Linked DNA regions of Oryctolagus cuniculus. Each later gene encodes a partner of the first gene's protein in a complex. Links are inferred from orthologs where the notes say so. Each region holds a gene or a part of one and is shown on either strand. Other genes may lie near its edges. The genes, in order: TFDP2, E2F2 and LIN52.

What was found.
Region 2: TFDP2 (region 1) and E2F2 share a complex: the UniProt entries of both Homo sapiens proteins name them as parts of the DRTF1/E2F transcription factor complex. The link is inferred for Oryctolagus cuniculus from reciprocal best matches to the Homo sapiens genes TFDP2 and E2F2.
Region 3: TFDP2 (region 1) and LIN52 share a complex: the UniProt entries of both Homo sapiens proteins name them as parts of the DREAM complex. The link is inferred for Oryctolagus cuniculus from reciprocal best matches to the Homo sapiens genes TFDP2 and LIN52.

The regions. Positions count from the first base shown.
Region 1 is NC_091435.1:139,716,276-139,720,020, forward strand, and holds the start of TFDP2 (transcription factor Dp-2), read left to right. Parts: upstream 1-1,240; 5' UTR 1,241-1,550; intron 1,551-3,745. UniProt on the Homo sapiens protein: Can stimulate E2F-dependent transcription.
Region 2 is NC_091438.1:147,416,374-147,420,018, reverse strand, and holds part of E2F2 (transcription factor E2F2), read right to left. Parts: coding exon 3,525-3,645; intron 2,341-3,524; coding exon 2,182-2,340; intron 229-2,181; coding exon 114-228; intron 1-113. UniProt on the Homo sapiens protein: Transcription activator that binds DNA cooperatively with DP proteins through the E2 recognition site, 5'-TTTC[CG]CGC-3' found in the promoter region of a number of genes whose products are involved in cell cycle regulation or in DNA replication.
Region 3 is NC_091451.1:20,253,718-20,257,462, reverse strand, and holds the start of LIN52 (protein lin-52 homolog), read right to left. Parts: upstream 2,802-3,745; 5' UTR 2,594-2,801; coding exon 2,563-2,593; intron 1-2,562. Other genes in the region: ALDH6A1 (methylmalonate-semialdehyde/malonate-semialdehyde dehydrogenase [acylating], mitochondrial), read left to right, coding at 3,168-3,215.

The DNA.
Region 1 (3,745 bases):
GGATTTGTGGCTGAAAATGTAATCACTCCTCTGGGGATCTGCATGTCACAGTCAATCAGCAACAGGCAGCATCCGGCATTCTTGGACTCCGAGGACTTCACCTCCCTACTGTGATGTGGCAGGCCAGTGTCTCGACACCGCACCCAGATCCAAAGGTGATCTCCTGTCTCCCTCAAGTCCTTTATGTGTTTACTTAAACGCGTCCTTAGGATCTCCTTCCCTGTCCACCATGCTTAAGGCTGAAGCCATCCCTCCCACACACACTCTGCTTACTGTTTTTCCACAGCTCAGATCAGCAGGTAGCATCGTTTTTATTTTGCTTATTTCTTTAGCTGTCGTCTTTCCCACCGCACTAGAATGCGGGCTCCACGAACGCAGTTTTTGTCTCTTTTTGTTCACAGAGGTATCTCCAGCACCTGGAACAGTGTTCCGCACGTGGGCGATTTATAAAATTTGAGCAGAGCGAAATGAGAAAGGCCTATCGTTGCAACACTGTGCCCTCACACCTCACTCCATCAGCAGGGCAGCTCCCATCTCTCTCTCCTCTCTCAACCTCCACAGCTCGGTCCACGCGGAATTTTCCAAATCAGCAGAAAACGAACAGACACAATCTTGTAACGCTAACCTACCGACCCTACAGGAACAGGTGTCTGGGGAAGCGGGCAGCCCCGGGGCAAGGCGGCCTGGCTTTGTGTGGATCCTAACTCGCCTGGCTAGGGAAGAACCTCCAACTCCCCAGGAGTCTCTCACTCATCGAATACTTTCAAGGCGCTCCACGGCTGGCCCCAAGCACTGCCTCACCGCTTACTCCCGCGACTCCTCAAATGCGAAGGATCCAGATGCACCTGCCCCACTTCTCCCGCCTCTCAAACAGCTGCGATCTTCCTGCTTCGTGGGCGGACCTCGTGGGGGAGTTAGGGGCGAGAGGGAAGGGCGTGTTTCTAAACTTTAGGCTTCAGGCCTACAGCTTGTCCAGCAATCGGAGCTGGAACCAAGAGCCCGGGCCACCGCCACCTACCCTTTGGGCAGCCCGGGAGAAACTTCAGGGGTCGGAGCGCGGCGCTTAAAGGCTCCGCCTCTTCTTCTCGTGCCCCCTCCCATCATTGGGCAGCCTGGGGGCGGGGTTTGTTTACTCTTTGCACGCACCGCCGGGACCGGCCAATCCGTGGGGAGCGGCGCCCTACGTCACGCCTCTCACCGGCCAATGGCCGTGCATCGTGCTGCTCCGCCGCCAAAGCTCGCGCGGGGGAAGCGGGGAGGCCGCCGAGCCGAGTGCGGGCTGACGAAGTCGGCAGCGCTTTCGGCTGCTGTGCGGCCGCTGTCCGGCACGCGGGGCGCGCCCTGACCGAGCCCTGAGGGCGCGCGCGGGCGCGAGGTCGGCGTGCCGGGGCCTCGAACTCCTGGGGGCCTCGACCGGGGCAAGGCCGCGGCTGCCTGGGTGGGAGTCCGCCGGGACCCGGGCGCCAGAGGATCGGCGGCGCCCGAAGACGCGCCCCCGGCTCGGCCCTGCAGCCTCGCGCGGCCGCCGGGTCCTCTGCAGCCGAGCGGCGGTAAGGTCCGGGGCGAGGGCGCGGGCCCGCGTGCCGAGGGCCTCTGGACCCGGCCCGGCGCGCTGCGTACGCCGGGGGACCCCCGGGAATCCCACGGGCTCCTCAGGCCTGGCGGAGTAACCCTTGAGTGTCCGGGCGAGACTGGGCAGGCAGGGAGGTCACCCTTCCTCGCGCAGCCTGCAAACTGGGGGAGGTGAGGTCCCTGAGTCACGCCTCGGCGAGGCGGGCAGAGGGTGTCTTCCCCCTTCCCGTCCTGGCCGTAGGGAGCGATGGCTTCGGGTTCTGGCTGCTGACTTTGCCCCCTGCTTCGCGACCCCCCGTCTGCCTCCGCCAGGGTTTCGTTGTTGTTTTTAAGAGTTGGGAGGCTTTGTGTGTACCTGTGCCCCGTAAGGGAACTTTGGCATTGCTCTGTGGGCCCAGACGGCTGGAGAAATCCCGGAGAGCCGAGGTGCCCGTCCGCCGGGCAGCGGCAGGGTTTGGGTGGGACCGCGCCGAGACGCCGCGCGCTCGCGTTGTGAGGTCTCCGTCTGCTCGAGCTGGGGGACCTCGGCGTGGGCGCCGCCGCCGAGGGAAGTCTGGGGCCGCCTGGGTCAGGGACGCCCGGGGCGCGAGCTCGCCGCCCGGCAGCGCAGGGCACGAGGTGGGCACCCTCGCTTCTGACTGCCGCGAGCGCGGGTTCGCGAGAGGATCCTTTTCTCTGCCCCTTGCCCACTCACCGCCGAAGCTCCGCCGAAGCCCGGAACGCTCTCCTCTTCCGTTTCCCTCGCAGACGGCTCAGACGCCCTCTGCCACCTGCTTGCTTGCTTCAGTGGGTGCGTGGCTCCTTCTCCCCCATCTCCCCTCTCCCCCCATCTTCCCTCTTCCGCCTTCTCCCCTCTCCCCCAGATCTTAGTTTCATGACTTTTCCTTTGATTTCTATTACCTAATTTTTTCTGGGTCACTTGTTTTTCTTTTCTCTTAATGGTTTCATCTTAGTCATTTTGCCTAATAAATATAATTGGAATTATTCACCTGTTCTCTAAAAGGACATAATCATGACCCTACCTGTCTCTGTTCAGAATCAGAGTAGTTGAATCTGTGTTGCATCTTGCTGTTCCATGTCGTTGGCTGGCCTATGGTTTAGCGAAAGCTTTATCGCTATCACATTACTATAATTAATCTTTAATGACAGTGTCCACTCTCAAATAGCACCAGGAGAAAAATCAAATACCCAGACCCCAGATTCTATCGCACTTGGGCACTGGCACTGGCTGTGTTTGTTGTGTGGTAGAACATCTTGTGCCTGGAACTGGTCTGGTCTAATGGCAGCCATCATGGCTGGGAGCACTGCCCTGGCATACAGTTGCAGCAGTGTGGTACTTGTACAGAAAGGCCCAAGACTTACTCAACTCTTATTTTCGAGTTCTCTTTGTTTCTAGTTGTTTGTTTAAGAAGGAAAGCTGAATTTCGCTAGTGTGTGGCATGACCATTTTGTGATCATGCAGTTGTACCCCCCCACCACCACAGACCCCTTCTTTGGAATGTGTAGCACAGTGAAGTATTCGCACTGTGGCCAAAATGCTTATCTGGGCTCTGTGCTTTTAGTGTGACTTGAAATGGAGTTTATACCCCCTGTAAGCCATCATCACTTAAATGCTTATTGTAACATGTATCATAGTAAATCTCAGAGGAATCTAGAAAACATAAGTTGAGAGTTCTTTGAGATCAGAATTTTAAGTTGTAATAGATTTTAAAGATTATTAAATTGTTAATATATCAATTCATACTTGAGTCTTTTCCATTTTAATCTGGGATCCGTAACACTCTAGTATATTTAGAAGTAGATTTGTGAACCCTTAGAAACTTTTTTTTTTTAAAGATTTATTTATTTATTTGAAAGACAGAGAGAGAGGTCTTCCATTCACTGGTTCACTCCCCAATTGGCCGCAACAGCCGGAGCTGCATTGATCCAAAGCCAGGAACCGGGAGTTTCTTCTGGGTCTCCTGTGTAGGTGCAGGGGCCCAAGGATTTGGGTCATCTTCTACTGCTTTCCCAGGCCGTAGTGGAGAGCTGGATCAGAAGTGGAGCAGCCAGGACTCGAACTGGCGTCCATATGGGATGCTGGCACTGCAGGCAGCAGTTTTACCCGCTACGCCACAGCACTGCCCCCCCCCCAGAAATTTTCTGCAAAATTACGTACATTTGCATGTTTTTA
Region 2 (3,645 bases), on another chromosome or scaffold:
CATTATTGCCACGGACAGCGGCACGGACATCCCAGGGAAGCTTGGCACGGGCAGTGCCAGGGCAGCGCGCACAGAGCGGCCCAGGACCCTGCCCCAGGGGCTCCTGCTCTCACCTCGGTCTTGTCAGGCACTTCCAGTCTCGTCTGCGGCGGCGCCTTCACGGCAATCACCGTCTGCTCCTTGAAGTTGCCGACAGCACGGATGTCCTGGTACGTCACGTAGGCCAGCGTAGGGGCAGAGTCAAGAAAAGTGAGCGCTGGGCAAAGTGCAGACCCCAGATGCCAGGCGGGGCCCAAGCCTCTGACTCCCGCTTTCTCACACTGCTTAGAAATAACTCAGAACTGTAACCTCTTCTTTGAATGTCATAAGCTCCTTTGGATACTTTTAGACAGCCCAAGGAGGTGTGCATCATTTTCAAATGCTGCCCATGGGTCCAGTGCTGTGGCGTAGTGGGCTAAGCCTCCGCCTGCGGTGCCAGCAACACGTATGGGCACCGGATTGAGTCTCGGCTGCTCCACTTCCCATCCGGCTCTCTGCTAATGTGTCTAGGAAAGCACTGGAAGATGGCCCAAGTGCTTGGGCCTCTGCACCTGCGTGGGAGACCCGGAAGTAGCTCCTGGCTTTGGATCATCCCAGCTCCGGCCATGGTGGCCATTTGGGGAGTAAACCAGCAGATGGAAAATCTTTCTCTCTGTCTCTCCCTCTGTCTGTAATTCTACCTCTTAAATAAATTAATTAAAAATCTTTAAAATATGCTGCCTTATATCAATTTTTTATGTAAAGGCTTCCTCTCAAAAAGATCTTAGCTCTGAGAAGACAGGAAGATTTGCTTCTTTATATTTCTCACAATGCCTAACATCCTTCCAAAAATACCAGGCTAGATCCAAAAGCCAATTAGATGTGAAACCATTTGGGAAAATGCACAAACCATGCTCTCTGACCTCATTGCTTGCATCCCAGGAATCTGATTTAGGGAAATAAGTGACAATAAGGGGGCAATGTCCAACACACAAAGATATTCACCTCTATGAAAGCAGAAACCTAGACTTGTTCCACATACTCATTCTATAAGACAATCTGAAGTCAGTTTATAGACAGGTGAAAAAGAGATTGAGTCATGTGAAGTTGCTTTCTCACGGGTACGTCGTGATTGCATACTGGCATTTTCCTGTGGATATGTAATGGCAAATACAAACGTCTACAGTATTAATTGGAGAAGAACAGAACAAAAAATGCAATGTGCAGCAGGGTCCCCGAGCCTCGTAAGGAAGCGATGATGTGTTAGGCTGGCAGCCCACGGCTTCTTTTTTGTTCTATATTTTGCAGATTTAAAGAAATATACTTGGGGCTGGTGCTGTGGGGTAGCAAGTAAAGCTGCTGCCTGCAGTGCCAGCATCCCATATGGGCACCAGTTCGAGTCCCAGCTGCTCTACTTCTGATCCGGCTCTCTGCTATGGCCTGGGAAAGCAGTAGAAGACGGCCCAGGTCCTTGGAATTCTTCACTTGCATGGGAGACCCGGAAGAAGCTCCTGGCTTCAGATCGGTGCAGCTCCACCTGTTGCAGCCATCTGAGGAGTGAACCAGTAGATGGAAGACCAACCTCTCTCTCTCTGTCTCTCTCTACTTCTGCCTCTCTGTAACTGTGCTTTTCAAATAAATAAAAATAACCTTAAAAAAAAAGAAAGAAAAAGAGAAGTGTGCTTGTCTCAGGGCCACCACTGTGGTGTAGCAGGTAAAGCTGCTGCCTGCAGTGCCAGCATCCATAACAGGTACTGGTTCAAGTCCCAGCTGCTCCACTTCCAATCCAGCTCCCTGCTAATGCACCTGGGAAAGCAGCAGAAGATGGCTCATGTCCTTGGGCTCCTGCACCCACATGGGAGACCCAGAAGAAGCTCCGGCCATTGTGGTCATTTGGGGAGTGAACCAGGGGATGGAAGACCTCTCTCTCTCTCTCTCTCTCTCTCTCCCTCTCTCCCTCTCTCTCTCTCTGTAACTCTGTCTTTTAAAAATTTAATAAATCTTTAAAAAATGTATTTGTCCCATTTTGAATCATGAAAAGGTAACTCTAACAGGCTTGAGAGGAAAAACCACGGAGAAAGAGACAGATGGCCAGAGCCCTGGGAGGCGGTGGGACAGAAGCACACGCAGGCCCTGCGCCGGCCCCTCCACAGCACAGGATATCTCTGGTTGGCCTTGTCCTCGGTCAGGTCCTTTAAGCTCAGAGAGCAGCCCTGGATGAGCTGGTCCAAGGCCTGCTCCGTGCTCGTCAGCTCCTTCAGCTCCTGCCTCAGCTGCTGCTGCGTCCCGGGCCGGGTGGGGTCTTCAAACATTCCCCTGCCTCTGGGAACAGAGCAGCCCCCCACCGCCAGTGTCAGTGTCAATCCACACCCAGAGTCCCACCCCCAACCCCAGGGCTGCAGAGAAGGTAGGGGTGAAGCTCCAGGTCAAGGCCAGGTCAAGGTGCATGATGGTGGCCCCGGGGTGTGTACATCACATGGTCACCATCACTCTCAGGGATTGGAACTGGAAGTCGAGGCCCGAACCCCGCTTCTGGGGGGCTCTCCACTCGGTCCATCCCTAATGCCCAGCCTCCCCCAAAGGGCAGGGGACCACAGTGACCCCAGTCCTGAGTCCCTTGCCTGGGTTCTCTCAGGATCCACGCCAGGGACTGTAGGTCTGCTCTTTCAGACCCTGCAGGAGTGGGAAGAGGAGGCCCTGGTCCTCACGTCTCAGAGATGGAGGCTGGGTTAGGCCTTCTCAGCTTCCCGGGACTTCCCTGAGCTAGGAGATGGGGACCTGGGGAGTCCTCACCCAAGAGGAAGGAGCTGGGGTCCTTTTAGGCCTTTGCTTTTCCTGGAGATCATCTCCATCCTGCTTCCCACCTCCTGTTACTCCAGGGAGTGCACCTGCCCTTCCACCCAGCTCTCCAGCAGTGGCTCTGCCCCCAGCCCTGGCCCTGACCCTCACACCCCGGCACCCACATCCCAGGCACTCACACCCTGGCCCTGGCCCTGACCTCACACCCCGGCCCCCACATCCCAGGCACTCACACCCCGGCCCTGGCCCTGGCCCTGACCCTCACACCCCGGCACCCACACCCCGGCCCTGGCCCTGACCCTCACACCCCGGCACTCACACCCTGGCCCTAGCCTTGACCTCACACCCTGGCCCCCACATCCCAGGCACTCACACCCCGGCCCTGGCCCTGACCCTCATACCCCGGCACCCACACTCCGGCCCTGGCCCTGACCCTCATACCCCGGCACCCACACCCCGGCCCTGGCCCTGGCCCTGACCCTCACACCCCGGCACCCACACCCCGGCCCTGGCCCTGACCCTCACACCCCGGCACCCACACCCCGGCCCCCACATCCCAGGCACTCACACCCCGGCCCTGGCCCTGACCTCACAGCCAGGGGCTCTCTCCGCCCCGGCCCCGCCCACCGCTGAGCCCCCACAGCCTGGCGGGCACTGGCACCCCAGCCCCGCCCACCACCGGCCCCATGGCCCGCGCGGGCACTCACACCCACTGGACGTGGTTCTTGGCCTTCTTGCGGATGAGCTGGATGCCCTCGAGCACGTTGGTGATGTCGTAGATGCGCCGCTTCTGCACGGCCAGCACCTCCGCCGCCCAGTTCAGGTCCA
Region 3 (3,745 bases), on another chromosome or scaffold:
TCTTTTTTTTCTGACAGGCAGAGTGGACAGTGAGAGAGACAAAGATTTTTCTTTGCCGTTGGTTCACCCTCCAATGGCCGCTGCGGCCGGCGCACTGCACTGATCTGAAGGCAGGAGCCAGGTGCTTCTCCTGGTCTCCCGTGGGGTGCAGGGCCCAAGTACTTGAGCCATCCTCCACTGCACTCCCGGGCCACAGCAGAGAGCTGGCCTGGAAGAGGGGCAACTGGGACAGAATCTGGCACCCCGACCGGGACTAGAACCCGGTGTGCTGGCGCCGCAGGCAGAGGATTAGCCTATTGAGCCACGGCACCAGACTCCTTTGGCTGACTTTTAAAATAACTCCTCCCCGCTTCTTTTTCTGGCCAGAGGATTTAGCAGAATCTTGTCTGATTCTAAATATTCACAATTTCTTTTTTTTTTAATTAATTAATTAATTTATTTTTTTAACAGGCAGAGTGGACAGTGAGAGAGAGAGAGACAGAGTAAGGTCTTCCTTTGCCGTTGGATCACCCTCCAATGGCCGCCACGGCCTGCGCACCGCACTGATCCAAAGGCAGGAGCCAGGTACTTATCCTGGTCTCCCATGGGGTGCAAGGCCCAAGCACTTGGGCCATCCTCCACTGCACTCCCGGGCCACAGCAGAGAGCTAGCCTGGAAGAGGGGCAACCGGGACAGAATCCGGGGCCCCTACTGGGACTAGAACCCGGTGTGCCGGCGCTGCAAGGCGGAGGATTAGCCTAGTGAGCCGTGGCGCCGGCCCTATTATTCACAATTTCTTACACAGTATGTACCTATGCTCAAAAAGTTACAACTCAGTTAAACTTAAGGTCAAGCAAAACATTATTTCCTCTCTCTATATATTCTTTGATTCAATAAATGTTAATTGAGCCTTAAGATGCTAAATCAGGCACTGTGCTGCTGAATCCCAGGATTCAGCTGTGAACAAGACAGACTTGGAATTTATAATCTACTGTGAAAGAGGAAAAACTAACAGAATAACAATGCCATCAGTGAAGATACTGAGATATTTAAACAGGGGAGAGGGGCAACTCCAACACTGTGTTCTGGAAAAGCCTCTTTGGGGAACAACATCTAAAAGAAACCTGGAACTGGGAGAAAAAAAGTTTACATGTTTGATTCGTTTTTACATTTTCGGAAGCACCTGGTATTAACGCCTTTCATATATGTTGAGTAAGCCCATAATATTTTGACAGGATGATCGGTGTCAGATTTGGAGTAAAAATGAGGCACACATGGGAAGGCTGGTATACCTCTCTCCTCTCCTGGCACTGGGGCCATCAACTGACGCAATAATCCAGTCTTCCAATCCTCCCCTAATGGCATGCTCTGACCAAGCTGTTCCAAGATGCAGCCATTTTGTAGACCACCCCCACACAACTCCCGCAAGGTCCCATCATCTCTGCAGTGAGCCATTCAGCACCTTGCTCTGGTGTTGACCAGGGTAGCCAGGAGACAGCGGAAGAGATCTTAGGTGCTTTTTCCTACCCCCTCCTTTAGATTGCTAATCGGCCTGAGGCCAAATTGTCTTCCAGGGAAGAAATTTAAGAATCCATAATTAGGGTATTGAAATTCAAACTCAGACAACCCTGTAATCTAGATAGCAATCTCCATGTCACTCGGTAAAAAGGAAGTACTGCTTTACACTTTCATGTGGTCGTCTGACAACCTGTAACAAAACCGGTCTCATTAGTCTTTTTGATTTTTGCCAATCTTATGTCTCGTTATTGTTTCATTTTTCTTCAATGGTGTCAATATAGAATATGAAACCTCTGCAAAAAAAAAAAAACGCCCTCCCCAAGATTTCTTCCAAAAACACTCTGTGGTCGAGGAGGGGAAATTGCACATCAATGAACCTGACCTGGGGATGGGGTGATGGAAGGGCAGCCCGCAAGACCCTAGCTCTCTAGGGCAGATCGGAGCACAACAGCGCGCTGATACACCAAAACCTCGCGTCCTAGACAACATCCAGGCAGGGGAACCCGCACACACAGCGGCCCCTGCAGAGACTGAGATGTACGCGAAACTACTCTAAAGCAGAGCTCAACTGTCATTTCCTGGGGACCCTCGCGGCGAGGGGACGAAAAGGTCCCCGCTTCTCTTGCAATTCAGTCCCCGGACGGGGTCGGCCACCAACCCAGCTAGGACTTGAGGATAGTTCGATCAGTGCTCAGTGCGAGCAGAGATGATACATCAGCGGTGCACCCGGAGGAGCAGAAAACTATATATAACAAGGCACCTCCTTTCTCTCAGCAGTATCTCCTCCTCGTCCCTCAACTTCAGCCAAATAGGGAAAAAGGAGGGCCAATGAGACCACTGTCCTTCTGCCCTACGTGGGTGCTCTCCTCCACCTGCAGGGTACACAGCGGGGAAACCCGGCGCCTCTCAGCGGATGTGAAGAACCGGCGAGGTGAAACCAAGGAAAAGGGAAAGGAGAGGTTCCCGAGAAAGAAGTGTACGTTCGAGGGGCAGATGGAGAGTGGAAGTTCTCAATGGGAGCAAAGGAGGAGGTTGCAGGCCAAGGGTCTCTAAGCCGGCTCTTACCGTCTGTGGGAGACGCCATCTTCCAACCCATGTCACGTGACGTGGCCAACCGTCGGCGGGAAAGCGAGGACCCCTAAGCCACGCCCCCAAAGCGAAACCCTATCGCCAACTCGCAGCCCAGTCTCGTTTCTCCTCCCCATAGGACAGTCCTTGCCTAGCCCCGCCCCTAGCGACAGCCCTGCCCCTCGTGCTGTTGCGGAGGCGGAGCGACTGCAAAATTCTTGGAGGGTCTTATTTACTTTCCTCGGTAGGGGGTGGAACCCTGGTCGTGGCTGTAGCCAATCAGAACTCCAGGTTAGGGGGCGTCTCCCCTCCGTGTCCAATACAGAGTACCCAGGTAGGGGCGTCTTCCCTACCTCCGCCAATAGAATTCTCTGAGGTGGGAGGGGGCGAGAGCGCTTTCGCTTTTGACCAATCACATATCCGCAGGAGCAGGCCTGCGGGGGTGGAGTCAGGTGTTTTAGAGAGTGATTGGCCAGAGGAAATGCTCCTCTCCACGAATGAGAAGGTCGGGCAGGATGGAGGGGGAGGCCTGGCAGCTGTAGTGTTTCTGGCTAGCGCGGGCGGTGGAGGCTGGGGGAGCGTAGAAGAGGCGGCCGAGAACCATGGCGGCGGTGGTGGTGGCGGCGGCAGTGCGGGCCCGGATCCTGCAGGCGAGTGAGGGTGGCACCGAGGGACCACGAAGCTGGGACTTGGATGCTTTCCGTCCACTCTGAGCCATCCTCGGGCGGGACCGACTTCTTGGCCCAGCCCCCTTCTTGGCCGACCCTGGTGTTCCCCTCCCAGCCCAGCGGCCTAGTTTCCTCCTTCCCCCACCCCCACCCCGTACCTCCCCTAGTCTGGATGCCTCCCGGGACTTTCACCCGTTTACTCCGGGGCTTCCTGCTTGTTGGCTCTCGCCCACCGTCCTCAGCCCTACCCGGTCCCTGCTGCCACTCTTGCTGTCACCTCTCGGCCCGCCCACTGCCTTTCCCTGTCACTTCTGCACCAGCCACTTCGTTTTCTCGCATAAACTCCCCTCTCTTAGAGCTCTTTCGCCCGCCAGGAGCGTCCAAATGGCTCCCTTTCCCCACCCGTGAACCGAGGTAAGGGAGGGAGGGGGTTCTCGAGGGGCGAGGGTCAGCGAGTGAACTTTGAATCTCGCTCTGGGAGTGTGCACCAGGTTTTCACCACAGGCAGACAC